Linked DNA regions of Struthio camelus. The protein of the gene in region 3 interacts with the protein of the main gene of each other region in a pairwise test. Links are inferred from orthologs where the notes say so. Each region holds a gene or a part of one and is shown on either strand. Other genes may lie near its edges. The genes, in order: RCBTB2, APPL1 and FARS2.

Region 1 (7,492 bases), on a different chromosome or scaffold from region 3:
CAAAAGTACAAAGATTAGAAAGTAGTAATAAAGTTTATATTAAAAACACGCATCCCTAAATAGACTTACTGAAATGTCAAGGTCAGCAGCATAAAAAGAATTAAACTTCACAAAACAAAGCGTCAATCAAAAAGATTTTCACTTACAAAATATTTACATTTCTTCCTACAGATGCAAAAACACCTTTTGAAAGCAATGAAGTGTTTCAGATGATGGAAGCTGAATGCAACTACTCGCAATGCTGAAAAGCAGTATGGTAGGATGTTGGGGTCATTTTCACATAATTAGTGGTTTCCTTCTGCAGTAAAAGAAAAAAAAAATACTGTGAGCACTTTCTCCAGATCTTTCAGTGTATCAACATAAGGAAACATTTTGTTAAACAGTTTTTTGGGAATAGTGTCATTCCTACACCTAAATCTAATACCTTATTGTTGAGGGAAAGCATTGCTTTCAGTGTGGCTGATCTCAGATTTTCAGAGAATCATCTTGAAAAGCTCTCTCTTCGCTGAACTGCTAGCCAAATTCCAAACATACTTTGTGTTTTGTTCCTGTAATCCATACATACATGTAAACATAATAAAATATTAACAACTGTGGCATTTACTCCATTTTTAGTTTAATAGCTCTTTCCTATTTTAAACATTGGATAAAATTTAATATACCATATAATGCAATTAATTTGGTATAACTGAAATTTATATTGATTCTTTTTTCTTCATTTTGACCTTCAGACATAAGCTATAAAACAGGAGAGCTCAAGGAACCAGCTTAAGGGAAACAAAAGTATTCCAAAGATCTGGTTTTAGAAGAACTTTATTTAAAAATATTAACCACACAACATAGCAAATTAATACTGTAATATATAATAATAGAGTAAGTATATGAAATAAGTTGATGAATATTATATTTTTACACATTTATAGAATCTTAATATGGAAACGTTTAAGCCTTAAGAATTTAAGGAACACTAACAGGTTATCAGGTTGTTCAGGATAAATTGTGTGTAAGCTTCAGATGTTAAGCTGCACTGCACCTGCAAGCAGGAACCGTTCTCAAAATGGACATCAGTTCAATGCCATAAAAACATCGTGCTAGGCAAGAGCCTAGCTCTTTTAACATGTAATCATAAATATTAAATTACATTAACATAAAACCAGTAAGCAAACGTACTAGTTTTGTTATGCCACCTCTAAGCAGATCTAAGCTAAATTGTTATTAGTCTGTAGCTATATGATTCAGCCAAATTCTGTGCCTTACATAATATCTTAACTGATGGATCTTTTACTTCAGTCAACTCTTGCTGTTAACAAACATTCACAGTTTCTACAGCTCTAACCCATAATCCTACCCTTAGATGTTTAAGGAAGGTCTTTCTAGCCTAACTTTGGCTAAAAGCTACAATTTATAAGGTGTATCTTCTAAAATTTTAATAACAGACCTAAAAAAGCCTATAAGCGTTACTAAATCACATCCGGCCTTATTTTCTACATTCCCTGATCACTTTGTACAGTTTGTACAGTTTTTCTGCATAATGGAGCCTTGGTCCATGATATGGGCTTCTACCTACAGGTAAGAAGTCTCAGCTGTAAAAATGTTGCATTACTGAGTTGCATTACATTTCTACAGCCCTTGGCACTCCAGGACAACTGACATCACTCATTCATCTCCCCAGTTTTTCAAAGGTTGCCCCTCCAAAACCAAGAATTTCAAACTTATTTTTGTTTAGCCTTCTACTTAATTTCTATTTATTTAATCAAATTAAAAATGTAACCCACTTATTAAACCAGCTCTTCTCAGAATTTCCTCACGCTCCTCATTGAAAGCAAGTCTAAAGTCTACTAATTCAGCGTCTGTTTGGTAAGCTCAGAGTTGTTGTATGTAAATATAACTGTTATATGTCCTTCCCAAATGATGCCATTGTCTGTATCTAAAAAAAGAAAATCCAGTCATGACATAATTTGTGGTAAGTGATAACTTTACCCAAATCCAACTCTGGTAGTCTAGCGCAGATAGCATTAAAAGCTCTTAGAATTTTACTTCCTCAAAGCAATGCTAAGCTAATTCTTTTTTTACCCACACAACTTCTCCCTACTACTTTACAGTTCATCGCATCATTAGCATCCAATGCTACTCCATCATATTTATTTCTCACGCCTGGACAACATTAGCTCTCCTCCCTGCTATTCAGCAGGGCCATGATTTCTCAGTGCTTCCCTTAGCTGTGTCCGCTTGCACGCTCCCCGCCATCTCGTTCGTTGCCCAGGTGGATTACAGTGATGCACAAAGGTAACTGCCCACACACCTCACTCCACTCCTAGGAACAAAGGTAGGAACAAAGGTCCCTTTGCTCATTGTGCCCTGCCTTCTGTCCCATCAATACTAGAACTTCCCTCTGTGCGACCACCCAAACCCTCAAGCACTGATAATCCTTTATCTATCCTTAAATCTTAAATTTCCCAGCTAGTCGCTTTCCCTGCATTAAACCGTAGCTGGGCATCAAGCTAAGCCTGCCTGACCCACCGCACGCTTCATACTCCCTCTACGCACCGGAGGACAGAGCTCGCCGGCGCTACTCCAATTTAACCCTTGCTCCACTAAAATCGCGCCGCGGGTTACAAACCCGCCCTGCAGCAGAAACTGCGCCTACACACCGCGCACCCTGCCCTGCCAACGGACCCCAGGGGGAGGCAAACGCAAAACCCGCCTGGCGCAGGCAAAACGGGCAACGGCTCCCGCCCCCAGCGCTGCCCACCGGCAGCCGCGAGGCGGGACGGCTAACAGGCAGGCTGCGGGGGGAGAGGGACAGCCCCCACGCCCCCAAACCGGGGCAAGAGGAAAAGAGCACACCAAACCCCCACACAGCTCCGCAGCTCCCCCGCACGCAAAATGCCGGCCGACGCCACGGCCCCGCCCCGCCCCCCCGCGCACGCGCACGGCCAACGGCCGCTGGCGCAGAGGCGGGAAGCGCGCGCGCGCCCCAGGGCGCCCCTCCCCCCTTCCCTCCCTCCGCCCGGCTCGGTGGGGCCGGCGCGGGGCGGGAACGTCCGTTAGAGCCGCGCGTGACGGCTCCGAGCGCGGCTCTGCCGCGGCGTTGCCGCCGCTCTCCTCAGCGGAGAGGGGCGCGGGGCTCTCGCCGCCGCCGCCCTGGAGGAGAGGGAGGGAAAAGGTGGCGACTGCGGCGGCGAGCCCCTTCCTTCGCAGCTTACCTTCCCCGCAGGCGGCGGCGGCGGCGGCGGCGGCTCCTCCTCCCGCCAATGAGGCGAGGGAAGATGCCGCCGCGCTCAGGCGCCTCCTCAACCGCGAAGGGAGGGAGGGAGGGAGGCGGGAGAGAGAGAGGGAGAGGGAGGGAGGGAGGGGGGTTAGAGCCTCCCAGGGATCCACCTACTGCCGTAAAGAGCGTGGAAAACGGGGGGCCACCGGCTGACGGGGCTCTGGAGGCGGCTGGCCCCGCGGGGCTTGGCCCTAGCTGCAGAGCAGTTCTCTCCGAGTTCAAGCAGGGGGAGGCTGAGACGGCACCTGTGTCCCCTGCACCGAGGCACGTCTCCTTTGACGATACGGCCACCTCAGGAAGACACACATGCTCATAGGGAGCATAGTGCTGAGGGAGGCAGCCTAATAGCACTTCCCACCAAGCCCTAAGCTGATGGCTGGGCCTGAAGGCAGGTGGCAAAACTGCGTAGTGAGAGCCCCGTGCTCAAAGACGATTGCCATGGGAATGTCCAATGTTGCTGAGCTGTTTCGATGTGCAATCTGCTTTTTTTGAAAGTGAAGTGAAGAGGACATTGGTATTTTTCTCATATGCTTTAATCTTTAAAATTAAGTCCTCCCAAACAGGATACCCTTGAAAAGCATTTTCCTAATATTCAGCTGAGGAACCTTGCTGTTTGGTCAGGTTATGTCTCTTACCTTGGGCCTGATAATGCCCTGTCATCTTGCTGTGATACATATTCGGAGATTTTTGCTGTTGTCTTGAATTATATTGTTAGGTTATCGCTGTGGGAACCTTATTCAGAAGAAAGCTTGCCCTGTGCCTAAGAAAGTAGCTTTCTATTGAAAGCAATCTTCCTTTATCGCCTGGGGCAGGTCTTCATGTAGGAATCAGTCTTATGAGGATACTGCGTTATTTTAACAATTGTATGTACCTAGATACAAGATTATGTCCAAAAATGAGGTTTGTAAAAGCACATAAAGTAGTAGGACCTTTTCTTTATAGCTACGAAAGGAATAGAGACAATACATTCTGTATACTTGCCATATTGTCTGACAGTCTCATATGATATACTTCACATGCTTTTTTAGCCTATCTTGCATCCCATTCTTCAAATATATAATGCATGAAGTGCCTGTACCTCTGCACTGACTACCGGTGCTGCTTCCTAAAGTGCTCCCCTAATGCTTGCACTATGTAATGCTCCGTGGAGTCACTATCTCTTCTTAGCTTGTCAGTCGGAAGTGAAGAAATGTATCCCATGCATGCACCCCAAATGCATTATAATGTGCAAAACGTATATTTATTGGCTCATTCAGTTGGTTCTTTCACAATAATTGAGAGAAAGTCTTTTTAGCTAAGAAAGTTTTCTTCGTTTGAAAGATACCCATAATGATTTGTATAAAGCGTTGGAAGGAGAACAGTAAATTTTGGGGCACTTGACTCATAAGGATAATATATTGTGCCTTATAGTTTGGTTTTCTCTTTGTGTAAAGTAAAATGATCATTGTATAACACAAATAAATTTGTTTTCTGCTAATGTGTTCCCTTCTCAGTTTTCTGTTTTCTTGACTGAATAAACCCAGTCCACGGGGGAAAAAATTGGTGGATCTCAGACATATGTGTGTAAACATAACAATATGCCTGAAAATTTCAATTCTGCAGACAGTGGTGTAACAATTCCCAGTGGAAGTTGAAGCTATTCATTTTCAGGCTAGCAATAAGACAAATATTTTTAGTAAGAGTAATTGTCCCTTAGAACAAGTTTCATCTTGGCCTGTGAGCTGCTACTGATTCTTCAGTACACATTTTAAAAGAGTATTGGATATTTTTCTAAAAAGTAACGCTCAATTTAATGCAAGGAAGTGCTATGTGTTAGGCTGAAGGTCACGCTTAGAATCTGTGAAACAGGTGGTGTACTTCATCTATTCAAGCAAAGTGCACTTTAATACAGTGAAGTGCTTAAATCTAGAAGCAATAAATGTAGATCTACAAGCACAGAAACTGCTTTCTGGAAAATCTTACTGAAGCATAGAGGTCAGTCAACATAACTGAAAATGTGATGCCAGGCATGGAAAAGTGAAAAACACCAAAGCCACTGTTGAATGTATAAAGAGAAGAGTGATGAATAGTAATTAAGAGATAATTTGCCTCTAGTAATTAGTGTTATGAGACATCTAGTGGGACACTACGTGTAATGCTATTGTATGTATTGATAGAGAAGCTGAAAATGGAATAAACTGCAAAAAGATGATCTGTTAAGTTTATTAAAAACCCAGTTCAAAGATGGTTGCAGTTTGTAGGCTCCTTACAAGAAGAAAATATTAGATACTGAGTGGCATTTTAATTGAACGGAGAGAGCTGTAACAAGCAGCACTGGGGAGAAATTAAAGCCACAGAAATTCAATTCAGAAATTGAACGCAAATCCCTGACAGTGCAAGTAGAAGGTGGTCTCCATTTATTGATGCCTTCAAATCAAAAAGTGATCCAGCCGTTTCAAGTTTTTCTTATATGACAGAGTTTCTGCAGCTGTCACATTTTCTTTCTTTCATTTGGGCTGCCTCCAATTTGTTTTTCTTTTTTTCCTAAACATAATGTCTGAAGCCAGATTTAGAACTAAGCAGCACTCAGTGAAAAGGGATATCTACCTCTCTCATCTCACGTACAACACTCTTATTAGTATTTTCCTTTTTTTCCAATATATTGTTGAGGTCTGCAATTTAAGCTTTGGATCCTTTCTTATTTTATTTACCATTTGAATTTGTGCATGTCATTTTCTTCCAGTTGGTCTTAGGAATAATACGTGATAGAATTTGACCTAATTTTATTATCTGATTAGCTGATGAATCAGATGTTTATTTTACTTTACTTCAGCAGGATTATTTTGTACACTTAAAAAAATGTAATTAGAAAGTAAATGAGAATGTAGCAGGGACTGTAAATAGAGTAGCTAGTCAGTGAACTAACTTACAGTTCAAGCACCAAAGGACTCCAAAGCCACAAGATTTCAGTTACTTCTATTCAAAAAAAATTTTTTTTTGATATTTAAGTGCCAGTTCAATACAGCAGTTGCATATTGGGATGCAAGTTCTCCAGGCAGGGTCCACCTAAATAGCACACCGAATGTGTGCTATTCAAGCCATCCACCCAAGGGTCACATAGGGGCTAGGCTAGCTGTAGGCTAGCCTGGCCTAGATGGGAGGTTACAGATACATCGCAGGTGCTTTTGGAAATTATGCTTTTCCATGACTACAAAATGCAGAAGCAGCACAGGTAATAGCTATGTTCTTCTGTGGGGCTATATAGCTTGGGGGAGAAAAGGAAGGGCTTAGTTCAGATACATCTTCAGGCCGAAAGAGAATTTGCATCCAAGCACTTGGCTTATAGTACTCAACCTGCTACATCTTGGTGTAATCATGATACCACAAGGAGAAGGATGGAGGAATTATTGTGGAGGGCCAGAGGAAGCTGAAAGGAGGAAATAGAGAGAGGAACAGGCTTTTTTAAAGACTCAGTGAAGATTAGGGGTATTTGAGGTGATGATATTACTTTCAAAATTACTTTCATTTAATAGAATGAGTGCAGCATCTGAATTGTAGCTCCTATTTTCTTTCCATATTTTCTCTTTTCGCTTCCAAACTGCCCTCCCACAGTAGTATCCAGAACCACCATCTCGCTCCCCCCCACCACCCCCGTCATCTTGAACTCATGATAATCTGATGCTCAAAATCAGCTACAACTCTGGAGTACTTCAAAGCATACCGTCTCGAATGCTGCCTGCAGTTACCCATCCAGCTCAGTCAAATATAGTTAAAAGCAGACTAAACTTGCACTCAGATCTTCCAGAAGTTTTTGAAGCGTTGGAAAGGCTTTCCATATTTCCTAGATGGCAAAAAAGTTTTGGACTGTCATATGCTTATTTGTGGACTTACTAGAGAAACATGAGGTTTTGTAGATTGTCACTCAGTAGGTACAATTTCTGTATTTAAACTCAACTACTGTGTGCTGGGTTGCCAAAGATAGAGATGTGTTTGCTAAACTCAGTTGCAAAATAAAGATGCCCACTAAGCCTTTTGTTGTGTTTCCCCTTAGAGAATCTATCAGTAGGAGGGAAGTGAGAAAGCTAGGAGTCCTTTCATGTCAAACTAAGATCAGCTTCTGAGCTCAATAACAGGGTTCCCATTACCTGCGTTATGCTTTTGGGTAATGACATTTCAGTTATGATCATGACTTTGGAGGAAATGACTTTCATCTACAGAGTTATTAGCACTAGAGGCCCACTT
Region 2 (8,309 bases), on a different chromosome or scaffold from region 3:
AGGCAAGAGCTGGAGATGAACTCAAATGTTTGCCAGACGTGTCAATATGTTGCATCACTGTAATAGCTGTGACTCTCCCAGTGAAGCAGACAGACATGAAAGAATGCAAAAGAAGAAATTATATAGTACCATAACCTCCAAATAGCATACTCCTGACCTTTAAACCTGAACATTAATACTGGCAACTTGCAATTTGAAAGGAATATCATGCTAGGTTTCTGGATGATCTTTACTTTTTAAAACAGAACACTGCAGAAGAAAGTACTTTCTATGTTTTATCGTAAAATAATCAGCTATTGATTCTCAGACTTCAGACTGACCCTATGTCATATTGATGGAAAGAAAAATAATCTGAAATTGGAAACAAGTAATGACAGACCTTTGCTTAGCTTAAAAGTCAGAGGAATTGTTTACTCTTGTTTCTAGCAAAAACTTGAGAAATTGTGTATATTATTTGAGACTCTTTCATGTCATATATGAGAGCAGGTACACTAGAAGCTACCGGAGATAAGCTACACAAAGAAATGATCTAGTGAGAAGCCAGTGAATCGTTAAGCATTCGATACCATCATACATATTGTACTGCAAGTGACGTGAGGCAGAGCCTGTGCTGTCGTGTCTCTTAGCTCTTTCATTGTGTAGTGGTTTGCAAATGGAATCAAGTCTGAGCAGAAACTCTCTCTAAATACTTCTATATATATACATATATATACACACACATACAGAGACAGAGAACATGTGTGTAATATATGCACTAAGTTAATTGATATTTGAATCAAAGTCCTTCGCTTAGCAAAAACAATGTAAACTTGGCATTTGGTTTATGTCCAAAGCCAGAGCGGTTAGATTTTTATCTTGCATCAAGACAAAGTAAATGGCATTGCCATTTTAGAAAAACACTTCTTTCCTTCAAATGCAGAACAAGTTTGATTTGATATTTATTTAAAATAAAATCACAGTCTCAAACATGTCTAAAAGTGCACAATTCCAGTCCACAATTCACCACAAAACAATTGTCTAGGTTGATGATCTCCTTCAATATTACAGCAAAACATTATGAACACTTCATCATAATCAGAGCATCATGAAAACTCCTGAAGGGAACAGGGTTTCCTCTTTCCTCAAGGATCACTTGTTGCCATTTATGGCATCAGACACTATCCACTACCAGAAGCAGAAGAGTAAAACCTGACAGTGATTAAGTAAAACAAAACTAAAGTGTCTTTAACCATGCTGATTTCAAAGTAACAGAAATGAACTGATGTAATGAAACAAAGCAACTAAGCCGCCATGGTTTTCTAATAGGTGATCAGTCAGAATTCACCTGAAATATTAGGTTGGCTGAAAGATGTAAAATTTTGTTCTTAAAACAGGAGAAGATATAAGCAAATCTTGCACATCAACAAGTAAGCACTGGGCTGAGTTAGGCTTTGCTAATCAGTTTTTATCACAGATAACCTCAAATGAAAAGATTCTAGACAGGCAATAAAAGAATTTACAATCATGTTCCAATAAGTAACCTTCTCTCATATGCTTCCCTAACGATGTCCCAGTCTAAAGGGCTTGAAGAAAACGCTTCATCCTACTTGTCATGTGTAAGACAAATTCAGTATTCAAAACGTTTCCTATAAGTAAAAACAGTTCCGATTTCCATACACTGAGAACAGATCTTCAATGGGTAATTCTCTTAAATTAGTATTACTATAGTGCATTCAGATTTTTTTCCTTATTTCAGTCAGATGGGCCAGAGACTATACTACAGGTTAGCTCTCATCTGAAACTCAGTATGACATCTGGCATTAGAGTTACACGGGGCACACTCTGTTCGAATGCAATGATGCATTCGCGACATGATCTTCTGTTGTCTTTTCTAAGCAGTCCCTCCACTTGATGTGGATTTGCTAAAATGGTTGTCATTCTAGGGGTAAATATTTCATATTAAGCAAATGGCAGTTTCTCTTCTGCCATTCTGTAGATTCCTCTTCTACAGCTGAGGAATCAAAAGTATCAATGAACATGCTATTACAATATAAGAAATCTTGCTCATCTACATAGACAACGCAGCAAAACAATGATGCTAATTCTAACCGTTGACATATGAGAAACTATATTATAAACTAACTTTCATTCATGCCTAGGAAGAGTGCGCAAAGTACTTGTTGCTGCCAACAACAGAAACCAGTACAACAGAATAAAGCATTTCCTGCTTAATAATAGTAAAAAATAGTAACGTAATATATGGCATCACTGACAAAGTTCAAGCAGCAGAAATGGAAGTGAAGAAAACAGCAATTAAAGGTCTCTCAGCACCATGCATTTCCCATCTTCTCACAAGCATCACGATATCATTCAGCAACTGCATTTCATATTTATCTAGTAAACCTTTTGTCTTTTCAGTAAACTATACACACATAACAAAACTCCTCTTGAGAAGTAAAGGATCCAGTAAAGAAGGTTTTCTCAACACGAGGTTTCCAAAATAAATCATGAATGTAAATCTGGCGCTGGGGGAAGGGAGGGACAAGCTACCACAGTGACGCCCGAGGCAAAAGCACTTGCATATGCAGCACAGTATCTCTAGAAAATCGTCATTAAGCTCGCTACTTTGTAAGCAGCTAATGAACCCGCAGGACACCTGAGGCGATGCGGTGATGCAAGCGGGAAGAAGGCGCCGCAGCGACACCTCGCCGGGGCACTGCCGGAGTTGACAGCCCAGGAGCCGTGACTCCCGGCCCCAGGCCGACCAGCCCACGGCCGAAGCCCTCCCGCACCAGAGGCGAGGAGAACAGGAAGGCAACCGGCCCCGCAAGCAGCGTCGCTGCGCCGCTCCCAGGTCGGGCTTCTCTCTCCCAACGGCCGCCAACGTCTCCCCGAGCCCCTGAGGGAGCGGGGGAAGGGGAGGGGGAAGGGGGTGGCGCAGGACCCAGTGCCCCCGCGCGAGGCCCGGCCTAACCTCCGCCCAGCCAGCTGCGTCGCGGCCCCTCTCACCTGGGGGCTGTCTTCCAGCGTCTCCTCGATGGGGAGCTTGTCGATGCCGGGCATGGCGGCCGCCGGGGTGGACTCTGCGCCGCTGCAGCTCCCGCACCCCACAGCGCACCCAGCTGACTGGGCCCCTCCCCCCTCCCTCCACTCACAACACGGGCGCCGCCGCCTCGCGCCGGATGTCCCGCCTGCTCTTCTCCGCCCGCCCCCCCTTCCGGTTCTGTTCTTCCTATTGGTTCCTTCGCCTCAGCCTGTCCAACTCCTTATTGGTTCGCGGCTGCGTCAGTTTGTCTGTAGGTGTTGGGGGGGCACGTGGGCGGTGTGAGGCACGTCGGGCCGCGCCGCGCCCGTGCGTGGGCGCGAGGGTCTGTTCCCTCATCCCGCCCTTTCGCTGCGGGGCGGGGGAGGGGCGCGCGCGGGCCGTTAAACGGTCGCGCCGCGGCTCTGGGCGTCAGTGCTCGCCGCGCCCCTGCCGTAAGCTGCTCCCCTCCCCCTCCCCCCCCCCCTCGTTAGCATCCCCTCCTTCCCCCGTCAGTATAAGTGGGCGAGGGGGAAGAGCTGTTCTCGCTCCTCGGGAGGGCGCCCTGTCAGCCGGTGCGTGTGGGCTGCCCCGAGTCCGGGGAGGTGAGTCAGAAGCACTGACGCAGGGCTGTTTCCACGCTGAGGCGTCGAGCTCTGCGGGCCTGACGGAGATGGTTGTCAGGCAAAGTTGCTGGGAAAACGCTGTTTTTTTTTTTTTTTTTCTTCTGAGTTTGGAGTTACAGGCGTTGTGCGTTAATTCAGTATGTTCTTCTAGCCTCACTGTAACTAGTGGGATTTTGTCTTTTTTTACTCTGTTATTGTCTTACCCCCTACCCCACCCCCGAAAAAAAAGAGATCATTTTGGGGGCAGAAGTGCAGTGGGAATAATGCTATTGTGGCCCTGTTGTGGTAGAAGCACTCTCCTGAGCACCAGGAACACCCCTTTTGAGAAGTCCCCTTTTATCTGTCTCTTGTCTCCTTCCATCATCATTCAGGACTTCTAGCAGGAAGGGATTTCTTTCTATCCATAAATACTTTGTATTTTTTGTTACAAAGTCACGGTTTCAGCTGAGGACTTGCTGTTCCTGAATGGGTCTTGAATGGAAAAAATACTCTTTATAGAGCAGAGTGTGGTCTTTCCCCTTCAGGAGGGTGTAATCAGTCCTAATGGGCTTTCTGGTTTCTTTGGCTGGCTGAACTTGCTGCTACAGATTGGTGGCCAATTCTAAGTGGCTGAGGCTGCTCTGAGGGCTTATTAGAATTGAACCAGGTCATTGTGCACTGTTTTAAAAATAGCATGTTCTTAAATTGCCCTTTCTACAGCTCTGAGACCAGGACATTTTGATCCTAGTTACTGTATTTTAAATTATTCTTGCAGGTTAAGCAGTTTATATTTTTAATACACAACCAGATTAGAAAGTAGGCTAAATTAGCCGGTGGAGCAAATGATTAACTATTGTACAGTCTTATTATGAAGACCTTATTTTATGTTTGTATAAGATTACATTTTGCTTTTAAAAGCAAATGAAGAAAAAAGCTGGTATTAAATTGTAAACAAATACAGCTTTTTGAGAATTTCTTTTTTTTTAGGGAGCGGTGAGGAATTCTGTGTTACAGCTCAGTTCAGTCAGTTCATTTACCAGCTCAGCTAGTGACTCATGTGGCCTGAGGCAAGTCACACTGTTTCACTGTCAATACTCTTTCCCTGTCACATGAGAGCAATAATAGAGTTATCTTACAAGGTGTTTTAAAGATTAAGTCTTTCATCTTCTTGTTTGGTCTTCTGCATTAAAATATTACTTGCTGAGCTATGATTGGATCCATAACTATTGTATGGCACACTAGTATTTTCTCATGAGATATATATATGCATAACTTTCTGGTTTTGAGATCAGTTAACTTGTGACCAATTTTTACAGCTGTCTTCTGTAAGAAATGCTCTCTATTTTACATAATATATAAGATTCATTTCCTTAGCAGGAAATGCTAAGATGGTAGCAAGTAACTTTAAAAAGAGTTGTTCTTTGTTACCTTTATATTTTTACAGCTTTAAGTGACAGAAGAAAAATGTGTTTGTTTAGCTGCTGTGAGTTGAGAAGAACAGCACTTAAATCAGAGAACTAAATGTTTCATTAAAAAAAACACTGACAACATGTCTTTAGTATGTAGAAATGTGTCTTGGTATCTCAGCTGGCACGTAGCATAAAAACGTGTCTTGTTTCTGTTGAAATTAGTGGTCCATTTGCCACTGGCTTTAATAGCAAGTAGGGATCTTTTTCATAATTCTGTAATATAATGCAGCTTCTTTTAATTATTAGTCAGGGTTTTTAAGTAAATCTGTTACATAAAACATTCTGTAATGTCTTACTGGTCTTGTTGTGCTACATATACTTTTTTACAAATGTTAGAAGGCATCAGAAGGTGTTATTTGGGATGCAAGTTTGACAGCAGCAGACAAGTTTGGATGATAATGAATTCCTCTAAACGCACTAATCAGTCTTTTTCAATGAGATAGATATATATATATATTTGTTAGTCTCTGTGATTCTTTTTTTCTTCTTTGTATCAATGACTGCTAGGAAACGGTAAGAGTGCGGGTAACTGACGCTTGACCCTGTATAAACAGGGAGAAGAGCAGTCAACGGCTCTTTAGAGGGCCTCAGATGGGTCCGCTAACAGAGTGAACGTTTTGCCTCTGCTGGAGGGTGAAAGTCGCTGTCTGGATAATCAGGTAAGTCTTATCTGCATCTACATGCGCTTTCTCAAACTTTTGCTGGTGCCACCCTTGGACTTACCTTGAATTTATTTGTGTTCATTTAATCTTCCTGGGTCAAAATAGCTTTTAACTCAGCCAAGAAATAGCTAACTGCTTTTATTTATTTATGAGAAACATTAGCAGTTTTGAGGCATTCTTACCTTTTAAAAAAACAAACGAAAAAACCTCTAAATTTTGAAGCTGGCTTTTACTATACCATTCATTGACTATAATGTTATATAACTATAACATTTGACTATAACATTCACATTCAAAATGTATCAGGAGGGGAGCTCTGTGTGGAATGTCTGTGGCAGTGAGATACTGCTGCACTTGGGTGAAGGAGCTGTGGGAAAGGTGAGATGAAAGGCAATTTTTTTTTTCGTGTGATAAGTGATCAAGAAAGATGTATATACACCATTTAGCCTATTTCTAAAAAGCCAAAGATACTGGACAGGCTATTGTGAAAGGTGACTTGGCAGTGGAGTAGCAATAGGTGACAATGCTAATAGGTAGCAACAGTGACCAGTGGGGTTTTAGATGGAAGCCACCAAGAACTCTTCATGTGGTCACTTCAGCTGACTATTCTATTTATAAATAGAGTCCTTAGAGGCTTCACTTCTCTAAAGTACAAGAGCTCCAGCCACTCAACAGATGGACTCTGCTGTCCCTCAGCAAAAAACTGTGAGTGGGGCCAAACCAGAAAGGAAGATTAGAGTTAGCTACCTCACCAATCATGTGGTGCTGTAAAATGAGCAGATCTGTACATCCAAGGAGCAGTGATTTTTTTCGACTGTTGATTACTCAGGATTTTCAACCTAATGTTTGTTGTATTGCTGTGGTATTTATTTACTCAAAGCTATTTGTTTAAAATTCTTTAGATAAATTCATGACTTGCAAGTGAAATCTTGGCCCATTAGAAATGAGCAATAAAAGGGGATGTCATTTTTGAATGGAAGCTCAAGCTGTATTTCTACTTTTAGTAGAAATTCCTAGAAACTGAATCTACTTCTTTACTGTCAGTTCTTCTTAGATCTAAAACACTGTAACCTTTCTGCCCCATGAAAATACATTTTTGTTTTCACTTTTTTATAGAAAGGTTTGACTATTTTTGCATTAGTGACAAATATTTTATATATAACTAAGCAAGCTTCTCTCCAAAGAAGTATCGCAAACTTTGGAAGTTTGGTCTTCAGCCAGACTTCCTGGTAGATATATTTCTACATGTATATAGTTTTGGAATGAAGTAGACTTGTTATCTTTAGAATAATTTCTCTTAACAGTTTGTGAAGTCTCCACAAGATATGTGGAGCTGCATGAACATTATAAAAGTCTCTTAGAAATATGATGTTTCAATTTCACTGAATTCCGCAGAAATTAGAAAGTGTGATGTGCACGTCCACTTTGTGAACTTATTAATTGGTGCTTCCAGTTCCTATAATAAGTTGCTGCCAAGAACTCAGTTTAAAAACAGAATGTTGATATGTTACTGCATTGTTGTTCCTGGGTGTGAATCAATTCAGCACTGAGCAAATTAATATCATATGATTATTTTAGTAGTAGCACAGTTTCTTATTCAACTGTCTGAATATTCATTGTTGAACAAACTTAATGGCTGGGCAAGTATAAACACCAGATGGCACTATTTGATTAGTTTCCAACATGTGTCTAACAAACTTAGATATCTGGGTTTTGGCCTATTTTGTGAAGATTCTTTCTGAGAGCTATCACAATCTCTTTTCCCTTGGGGGGGGGGGGGGGAAGGGGGAAGCCTGCAAGTTGCTGAGTGTTCCCAAGTGGGAGTTAAAATCAGAATACCTTACTGAAGGTTTTCTGCATCTTCCACAAGCTCAGAAAGTCCAAAAATAGATTGTAAATATTTGATCTAGTTAATGGTTAGCTTTGGGGAGATTAAGTGTCGCTTATAAATATTTCTCTTAACACTGCATATGCCTGTCTTAATAGTTCTTGGTAGCTCGTTGAAGAGATCACTTACGAAGGTAGTTACCACTCTGGACCTTGGTCTGTGTGGTAGTCCCAGTCTCAACCATGTGGCTGAGATTAATTTCTTTCATAATCATTGAAATGGAAGAAATATTTTCTGAAAGGCTTGTGTATCAGTGCTTTTTCTTCTTCCAGCTTTTAAAGAAACTTTAGTTGTCTGTATTTGGAAACCAGCTGTTTGTATTAAAATCACTAAAAGTTCATTGTGTTTTTAAAGTCCACACTTTGGATTCGAGAGACTGTCTCTCCATCAGTGATCATGCTTATATGAAACCTTGCCAAAATAGAAATCTGTAAGCAGCTCTGCATAGATGATGCATCATTTTCTTGGTGGGTTTGGGGGGCAGAGTTGGCTTTTTTTTTTTTTTTTTGGTCTGTTAGTCCATGTAGAGCTATACAGGCAGAAAAATGATCTACTAACAGCTGAAGATTTTGCTTAGAATGATTGCTATTACACAATCACTGGTATATAAGAGTTTTTGCGTTATCTCTTATTACCTGTTATGCAATCTGTATATGCAAAATAACTTTGCAGTCAAGAAAAGAA
Region 3 (8,313 bases):
TTACCTGCACTTTTTAAGTAGACTACAGAGACATCTAGATACCTATTAACAAAAAATCTGAAAGTTTATCACTTGATACACAGATTACATAGAGAGAAGGAAAAATAAGTATCTGCTTTCCTCGCACAGCCAAAGTATAAATCCATGATATTTCACAGCTGCAGTTCAGTCATCTTTCTCCTACAAAGAAGTCAGACAACTCTAGAAAAAATAAAATTGTCTATTCGTCCATTAGATTTATTACTTCAGTTATAGACTACCACTCAGGACAGAACACTTAAGTACTTTCTACAACAGGGCATGTCTCTGACTTTCTTGCTGTTTTGGGGCTTTTTTTTTTAAACTTCATCCTTTAGTCTTTCTTCCTCCCTACTACACAATATCATGATACTGAGAGCTGACTTACCCAGCTGTGATATGTAAAACCCTTATGTAATTGTTAATTTACCTGGGTGATAAAAGTGACAAAGAACCAGTGACCAGACTCCATATGCCAGTGCCAAAGAGCAAAAGTAAGATTTTCAGTTAAAGTAAACAAGTAGTGTATCTTGGCAGAAGAGAAAGAATCCCATTTGAAAAAGCTTATTTTCTGAATTTTATTTGATACGAATCATGTTGTCAAAAAACTGAGATTATGATGTAAATACTGCTCAGTTTATCCTGTACTTGTACAAAGATCCAACAGCTTTACTGCATACCCTGAATTAAATGCATGTGTGTCTCTTTCCCACAGTTTGTTCCCTCTCCAGTCCAAGGAAAACCCTTGAGATAGAGAATATGTGGAAGCAGATGACCTGTACCTCTATGGCAGCAACTACCTACTCCTGGACACCATTTTTCCTACTGCTATAGCAATCAGGCACCTTCCTTGTAGTTGCTCTCCTTTCCACATGTTCATTTGGCATGGCCAGAAGCCTTTGCAATCCAAGAGCGTAAAAGCCTGAGTCCATGAGGGTGTCTGGTTTTTTTCAAAGAAAGAAAGAAAAAAAAGAAAAAACCGGACCCAAACACATTTATCACAAGCGACTGCTGAGATTTTTAAAAATGAAGATTTTTACATGTTGATTTTATCCATTGTAAAAATTTGATGAAAAAAATTAGTTTCCTTTTTAAAACAATTCATTCAAAAACTACACCTGAAGCTATATGTTAAAACCTCAAGCTTATGTTAAAGCCTTGGCTTACAATAGCCTATTTTTAAATTAAATAACATTTAAGCATCAGACGTGCTGTCAGAGATTTTACAGAATATTAAAACACTGCAAAAGTAAGGAGCAACCAACCAAGAATCACTTGGTGGAATTAAAGTTTGTTGAAGTGCTAAGTACTTTCAGAGAAAGTCGAAACCAAAATAAGACGATCAGCTTGCCCAGATCAACAACTACTTCATTCAAAGCTGGGAAAGCAACTGACGCTGAAAAAACAGTAGAACTTATTTTGCTTGTTTTTGTTCTTAGGTTGGCAGCTATCTGCAAAAGCAGATTTACTGATTGTAAAATCTTAAAGGACATGATTTAGGTGAAGTTGCCTGCATTTAATTAACTAGTTTCCAACGCAAAACATGTTCTGACAAATTGCATTCCCTGTCTCTCCTATATCTATCTCTCCCTGCCCTCCTGTGTTTTGCATAGTTTTATTAACTAGTCAAATAACATTGGCCATTCTAATCAAAACCCCAATTTCCACTAAAATATGATTTATACCAATAAGAAAAAAAATCTATAAAGAAAAATGCTTTATGCTATATATATCATACATCATGTATCACACACATAATATATATCTAGATTATATATAATACATAAATATATTGCTATTTATATTATACCATGCTTACATTTTGAATATAAAAATAACAACTTCTGCCAGTTAACACAAAACATAATGAGTAACTGAAATAAATAAATCACATAAAACCTTGAACACACACACACACACACACACACAAAAAATTGCAGAAGTTCCAACAGAGGGACTTGAAGCTCCTTACGTTGCTCATAACTACAAGAAACTAAAAAATTGAAAAGGAGACCAGCAGGAAGAGCATAATATGATGTTCCCCAGAACTTACTACTTAGCGTTGACGCTTATAGACCAGGGATGGTTGCGGACCAGAGACTCCATAGTAATACTGGTAAGGCAGAACCTCTGGAGCTTATCTAATCAAACTTCCCATTTGAAGTATGTCTATCCTCAACCAGGTCAGGTCAGCCATGGCACTGTCTAACTCCATGCCTTGATAACCTTCAAAGGTGGATGAACTTCTTCAGCCCTGCACCACCCTTCTAGAGAAAAACTTCTTCCGCTGTATTCCAGAGAGTTTTAACCACTGAGCTTCAGTCACGTTAAACAAATAAAACTGCAGAGTTCACACTATTCTTGTTTGCAACCAGATGTTTTAAATCTTGAATTGCAAATTTTTATAAATTCAATTGTTTTCTGTACCAAAAAGAGAGACACAAAATAAATCTATTATTTCACAAATAACATTTGTTATTTGAAAATTACTGCACTAAACCAATTAATTTAGTTGAGACTGTAATTACAATCTCACATTACGAACTGTAACAGGATCTTCTTTTTGTTAATCAAGCAGAAAAAACTCCCCAATATACTTGGAACCACTTTTTTAAGCTTAAAACTTAACATCATCATCCTTTACGTATTGATTTTCCTACAGTACAAATCAGACTTCCATCTTCAGCCCACATGTGTGTGTAACAGGGCAGAAGGGCATGCGTAGTATGGCAGAAAGGCAGACAGGAAATTACTGTCTACTAAATTCTCTCCTGCTGTTAAACTCTGGCCTACACATCTGGGCTTCAGAGCACTCCATAACGTTTACTGCAGGACTCTAGAGATGATCCTGTGTGTTATTATTCTAAAGACTGTTGGAGCTGGACTCAGTAACTTTAAGATATTAACATTATTCTTCACATTTAGGGCAGCAAAAGCTCTGTTGGGCTGGTAGAAGGAAATCTGGTACTAAAAAAACAGATATAGAATATACTAGAAAAGTTACAAAACAAAAATACTTGATTCTAAATCACAATCTATATGTGCCTCTTTAAGAGCAAAATCACCACAATCAAACAGGGAGACAACAAGCAGTAGGTCACACTGCAGACATACACTTACAAACATGCATTGTTTGCACTAATGAAATATTCTGAAATTCAGCCAGTGAAATCATGAATCAGTAAGTTTAATCTTTAATACTCTGCAATTTGCCACAAAGTCGACTCTTTACAAAGTTATATTCGATGATCACATTACAGCAGCCCTGAAGGCAGAGCAGAACTGCTTATCCCAGCATCTAAGAGGAGTGTCCATTTTTGTTATGGGTGTGGCATAAAAACCAAGGTGGACTTGTTGCTGTGGTCCCAACTGATCTCTGCATGTAAGAGCTGCTGACTGCTTCTTGCTAGAAGCTGCTATTGCTTTTAGTGTTTACAGATTTGTATACAAAACAAGAATTTATACAGTTGCTGATTTTACAGCATCTAAGGACAGGCCCATCAAAAACTGAGACCATTCCTTAAGGAAAGGGGAAGTTTGCTCCATGATATGGCATTGAAAAATTGCAGAAATCCAAGGTCAATGCACATCTTATGATTTCTATGCTTTTAGAGTTGTTAGTATTACAGTACTAAAAGAAAAAGAATGGAAAGTTTTACATCACGTTAAGCAGAGAACTCAGCAATGCACCTTGTATCATTGTTGTGTGATGGATAACCCGATCTTTGAGCTGCACGCCAAAATTTCCACACTGCTGAAGGCCCTGGATACATACCTTTTATTTATTTTGGGGAGCTGGCTGAGGGGCCAGGCTCTGGGAATGGTTTACAGAGGAGAGATGCCAAAAGTTTCCCAAGCCATTACACTCCATCAAAAAGGAGCTGGGGCAGAGGGGAGTCCTGTGAGGCTGCTGCCACCAACTGCTGCTGGCTTGTTTCCTCCCACGGCTGTGGGCTCAGCTTCCCCAGCAATTTCCCCTAGTGCAAACACATCGCTGGAAACATGACACGGCCCAGACGGGAGCTACACTCAACTGCCCTCCAAGCCATGTCTCACAGGCCTCAAACCACCCCTGTTACATATAACCATACTCTGCTATCCAGAGTAAGGGCAACCAGGATACTCAGGACAACAAAGTGCAGGGGGAAGCCTTGATGCACACGAACCAGAGAAGGAGCGGGGAGTGAAGTTAGTGTGGAGTCAGTGTGGAGTTAGTCTCAGCTGATGAAGGCCTATTAGCTCTGGCTCAAATTTGGCCTTTCCTCACGAGGCACTTGCTCCCTCATAGGCGCTGTTTGGGGAATACGTATACCCCGAGCGGCGCAGCGCTCAGTGTGGCTTCATGTGTTCAAAGGCTGCTGTGCCCAGCCCAACACTTCTTGCCATCCTTGAGATGGCTCCCCATGGAGCTGGCTCACGTCTCTCTGTCTGTGGGCCAACTACCAGCAGACAAAATAATCTTGCTAGTGCTGCTGGGGAGCAGCCCCAAGTGAACGCAGCAGATATCAAAGCGCGGAGTGGCCCGTGCCCATTGCACACGGGTCTGTATCAACGTAGGCATACCCTTTACCGAAAACCGGGGCATATCTTTCACCAACAACTCTCAGGAGACAGGCGGCCGCGCAGCACTGTGCCCAGCACGGCTGGAGGGTCAAACCCTGCCCACCATGCGCCTTGCTGGGGTTACGCAGGGAGCCTGGCCCCCGCCGGTGCAGCCGCGCTGCCTCGCCTGGGCAAAGAAACCCCGAGGCTGCCACCTGGCCCAGGCCCTCAACAGCCAAAAAAAGGGCAGGATACAAGGGAAATAGGAGCCTTTTCAGCCTGGGTACAATCCCTGCCCTGTGCCCTCCCCCCTCCCCGCGTAAAAGCGGGACCTTTTAGGCCCATAATACGGTGCTTTTGCCCCGGGGCCAGGCACCTCGGCGAGGCCGGCGGCTCCCCGGCAGGGGCGCGGCGGCACCGAGCCTCCCCCGGGCCGGGCCGGGCCGGGGCAGCGGCGGGGGCGGCCTCGGGCCTGCGCGCCCTCCCCCTCCGCCACAAGGCCCCGAGGTCACGGCTCAGCTCCGTCCCCCCCTCCCCTCCAAAAAAAAAAAAAAAAAGGAAACAAAAACTAAGAACCCCCCGCCCCCCCCCAAAACAACAGACACCTCGGCAAAGCCCAGCTTCTGCCCCCGAGTAATACCGGCATTGCCGCCCCCCTCCGCCCTCCCCAAACCCTCACGCGCAGGGGGAAGAGCGGCGGCGGGGCCGCGGCCGCCCCGCGGAGGGGCCGGACCGGACCGGGCCGGGCCGGGCCGGCAGCGCACCTGTAGTTGTAGCCGCTGAAGCGCTGGCTCTCCCGCAGCAGGGCCCGGTAGAGCCGCAGCACCTGGGCTCGGCTGGACGCTGCCATGTTGCCGGCACAAGGCGGGTCCTGCCGCCGAGGCCCCTTTTCCCCGCCCGCGGCCGCGCCGGCCTCCGGAGCCGCCACCCGCGCCCGCCTCTCTGCGCGCCTGGCGGCGGCGGCGGCGGCAGCGCAGGGCGGTGAGTGGCGGCGGGGCAGCGCGGGTGGGCCCGGCCGGGCGGCGCGGTCACCTTGGGGGCGCCGAGAGAAGCCCCGCGGCCTCCGCGCGCGCCGCCGGCGGAGCCGTTGCCCGGGCTCGGCCGGCTGGATGTGGAGGCCGGTAGCGTCCGCTGCGGGCAGGTGCGAGCGGAGAGCCGAGGCCTGGCGGGCGGGCGCGGCCGCGCAGCGCTGCCGGGGTTGGGGGGGGGGGGGGGAGCGGCTGTGCGCTGCGGCTCTGGGGCGCCGCGGTGCCGCCGGGCCGGGGCCTGGGCCAGGGCGGGAGGCAGGGCCTAACGCGGGGCTTCCCTCCGCCTGGCTGGGGCGCGGGCTGGTGGTGCGCCGCCCCCGGGGGCTCCAGCGGCGGGCAAGGGAGACGGACGGCGGCTGCTGGCGTTGGTGCCGCCCGGACCTGCCCCGAGGTGCCAAAGCTGCAGGCGCTTCGGCGTGAATATTCCGGGTTTTCCCGTGGGCCGCGAGGTGCCTGTGCCGTGTTGGGTTGTCCGTATGTCTGTCGCCTTTTTAAAGGGGTTCTCGGCTGAAGTGGGTATTATCAAAGGGGGGGGGGGGGGAAACAAGTAATGGGAGAGGGGAGCCTGTGTGACTGGGCAACGTAAAGGTCAGTGTAAATGTCAGTTGATGCAGGGTCAGGGACTGACCGGGAGACACTTAATATTTGGTCAGTGCTTGCATTTCACTGCATTTCTTCAAAAGTTTCTGTACAAACGCACGTGGCAAACTTTCAGTCACGAAAGGAGCACCGGAAGCTGCAACACCGCAGGTGATGCCCAAATCGTTCCTGCTTTGAGATCCCCGGTTATGTTCAAGACTGTTATCTAAATCTTTCTGCTTGACCTGTATGCCTGTAGTTCAGAAACCATTTAAATGAAGCAGCAAAAACCTCTGAGAGAGGTTAATAAGGATTTCCTGCCTCAGCTGTTTTATTTTCAACAAAAAATCTCCATTTACCATTTTTCTGGCTTTTTCCACAGCTGCACGAGAAGTGGGCACACCACGTTTATCAGTGCCCTCCCCTAAGGCTCCGCATCTGTCGAAGTTTTCAGAAAGTGAATTGGTGTGTTGAATTTTGAGTGAAGTAGCCACGACCCACGAGTGTTAAAACTGGCCTTGAAGAAGGCAGTCCCCAGGCAGGAATCTGTATGCACAATGCCTGTATATTGTACAGTCTGCAGAACGACTGGTTACCTGAGCAATTAAAAAGTTTTACCAGTTTATTGGATAAATTCTCCTCTGCTGTGAGGCTGGGTCCCTTATTCCACTTAAGCGCCTCTTTTATTATTGTTTACACTTGAGACATCCTGATCCTTTTATTGCTGGAAACAGAACATACTTAACATCCTCCTCTGCTGAAAGTTTTGCCACTGCAAATTAAATCTGACTTTGTAACTTACAGGTTTGTTGCTGTAGCTAGTACTGATTGTTAAAACTATCAATAATAGGATTTCTTTATATTCATTACAAAGTGTCTACTTTATCCACAATACGTTTTATATGTAGTATGTGTTTATATATGGTCTACTTCTGTCTCTGGCAAAAGCGTTTCAGTCCTTGCCTCTAACTGAACTGATACTCTATTGTACATGCATGCTTGAGTATTGTTTGTGCCGCTTGTTCATCTGATGCAATTTACAGTATGTTTCTAAAATAGTGCTGTATTTCTGGCTATAAATAATACAGATAAGCATGGAGATATCTTGGACTCATCTTTGCGTGCATGTTTATACGGTCATTGTATTTTAGCAACCCTTCTAGGCTTCTGAAAACTGAGATTTTTTACACACGTAGCAAATTTCTTGGACGTTCTTATTAAAACCTAGACTGGAAATGTTATAGGAAATGTTACATTCTTCTACAAAAATGCAAGCAGCCCAGAGACGATGAGAAGCATCACATTTTTGTGCCTTCCCTTATAAGTCACAAAAGAGCGTATTCTGGGCTGGGTTTTTGCATGCAGGAAACCCAAATGGAGAAAATTAAAAGCAGGCATGCTCTTTAGTGGGCTATGGGACCAAATGTTCCTTGTAGGCCAACTTGTATTGTTATCAGAGGTCACTGTGCAAACAGTGAAGTCTGCCTGATTCCCCACTGCCCATCCTTGCCGTTCTCCATCTTTGCAGCCCTGGGGTGCTTAGTAGGTGTTAAAGCAGAACTCTCGCTTTGGGTCTGCAGGTTTATCATTTTCCCTAAAAGCAGCAGTGGCAATCCTGTATTTTGTTTTGATAATGTGCTTCGGACAGTTTAAAAATACGAATCTCTCATGTACTGAACAAAATCTAGCTTTGAGAGTTTGGTAAAGATACGTAAAGTCATTTTATGGATCACTGCAAAAATTATTCTACGTAGTTTTAGAACAGCCCTCTTTATTATTTTGAGAGCAGGAGTTTTGATTCTGCAATCTTCAGCTCTAGAAGGTGAGAGAATAATGAGAGAGAAAGCAGAGCAAGTTAAGAAAATCTTGTAAACACTATTAGTTTAATACTGGAACAGTTATTATGAATGATTTTAAAATAGCCTCAGGTGCTAATCCTGTTCCTTCCTGAATTTCCCTGAAAATTTTTGTTTGTGTGTGTTGTTTTTTTAATAACCATGTTTTTCTCTGTTAAAAAAAAAAAAAGTCTCATGTTGCATGGAAACCTCATCTGCTTAAAATAAGCAAAAAGCACATGCAGAGTACTAACACACGCAGAGTAAACACACCGAAGAAGCAAAAAGCCTCCTCTTGACTCTCCCTCCCA

Evidence for each region.
Region 1: the proteins of FARS2 (region 3) and RCBTB2 interact in binary tests that used the Homo sapiens proteins (3 or more experiments, as listed by UniProt). The two-hybrid records come from large-scale screens. The link is inferred for Struthio camelus from reciprocal best matches to the Homo sapiens genes FARS2 and RCBTB2.
Region 2: the proteins of FARS2 (region 3) and APPL1 interact in binary tests that used the Homo sapiens proteins (3 or more experiments, as listed by UniProt). The two-hybrid records come from large-scale screens. The link is inferred for Struthio camelus from reciprocal best matches to the Homo sapiens genes FARS2 and APPL1.

Annotation. Positions count from the first base shown.
Region 1 is NC_090942.1:192,305,360-192,312,851, forward strand, and holds the start of RCBTB2 (RCC1 and BTB domain-containing protein 2), read right to left. Parts: upstream 3,380-7,492; 5' UTR 3,207-3,379; intron 2,922-3,206; exon of another isoform or gene 1,928-2,921; 5' UTR 1,776-1,927; intron 1,671-1,775; exon of another isoform or gene 973-1,670; intron 549-972; exon of another isoform or gene 425-548; intron 299-424; 5' UTR 147-298; intron 1-146.
Region 2 is NC_090955.1:15,492,568-15,500,876, forward strand, and holds the start of APPL1 (DCC-interacting protein 13-alpha), read right to left. Parts: upstream 3,197-8,309; 5' UTR 3,043-3,196; coding exon 2,989-3,042; intron 2,834-2,988; exon of another isoform or gene 2,533-2,833; intron 1-2,532. UniProt on the Homo sapiens protein: Multifunctional adapter protein that binds to various membrane receptors, nuclear factors and signaling proteins to regulate many processes, such as cell proliferation, immune response, endosomal trafficking and cell metabolism.
Region 3 is NC_090943.1:103,668,840-103,677,152, reverse strand, and holds the start of FARS2 (phenylalanine--tRNA ligase, mitochondrial), read left to right. Parts: upstream 1-5,283; 5' UTR 5,284-5,324; coding exon of another isoform or gene 5,325-5,408; coding exon 5,409-5,541; exon of another isoform or gene 5,542-5,701; intron 5,702-5,902; exon of another isoform or gene 5,903-6,037; intron 6,038-6,549; coding exon 6,550-6,632; intron 6,633-8,313. Other genes in the region: LYRM4 (LYR motif-containing protein 4), read right to left, coding at 5,325-5,410. UniProt on the Homo sapiens protein: Is responsible for the charging of tRNA(Phe) with phenylalanine in mitochondrial translation.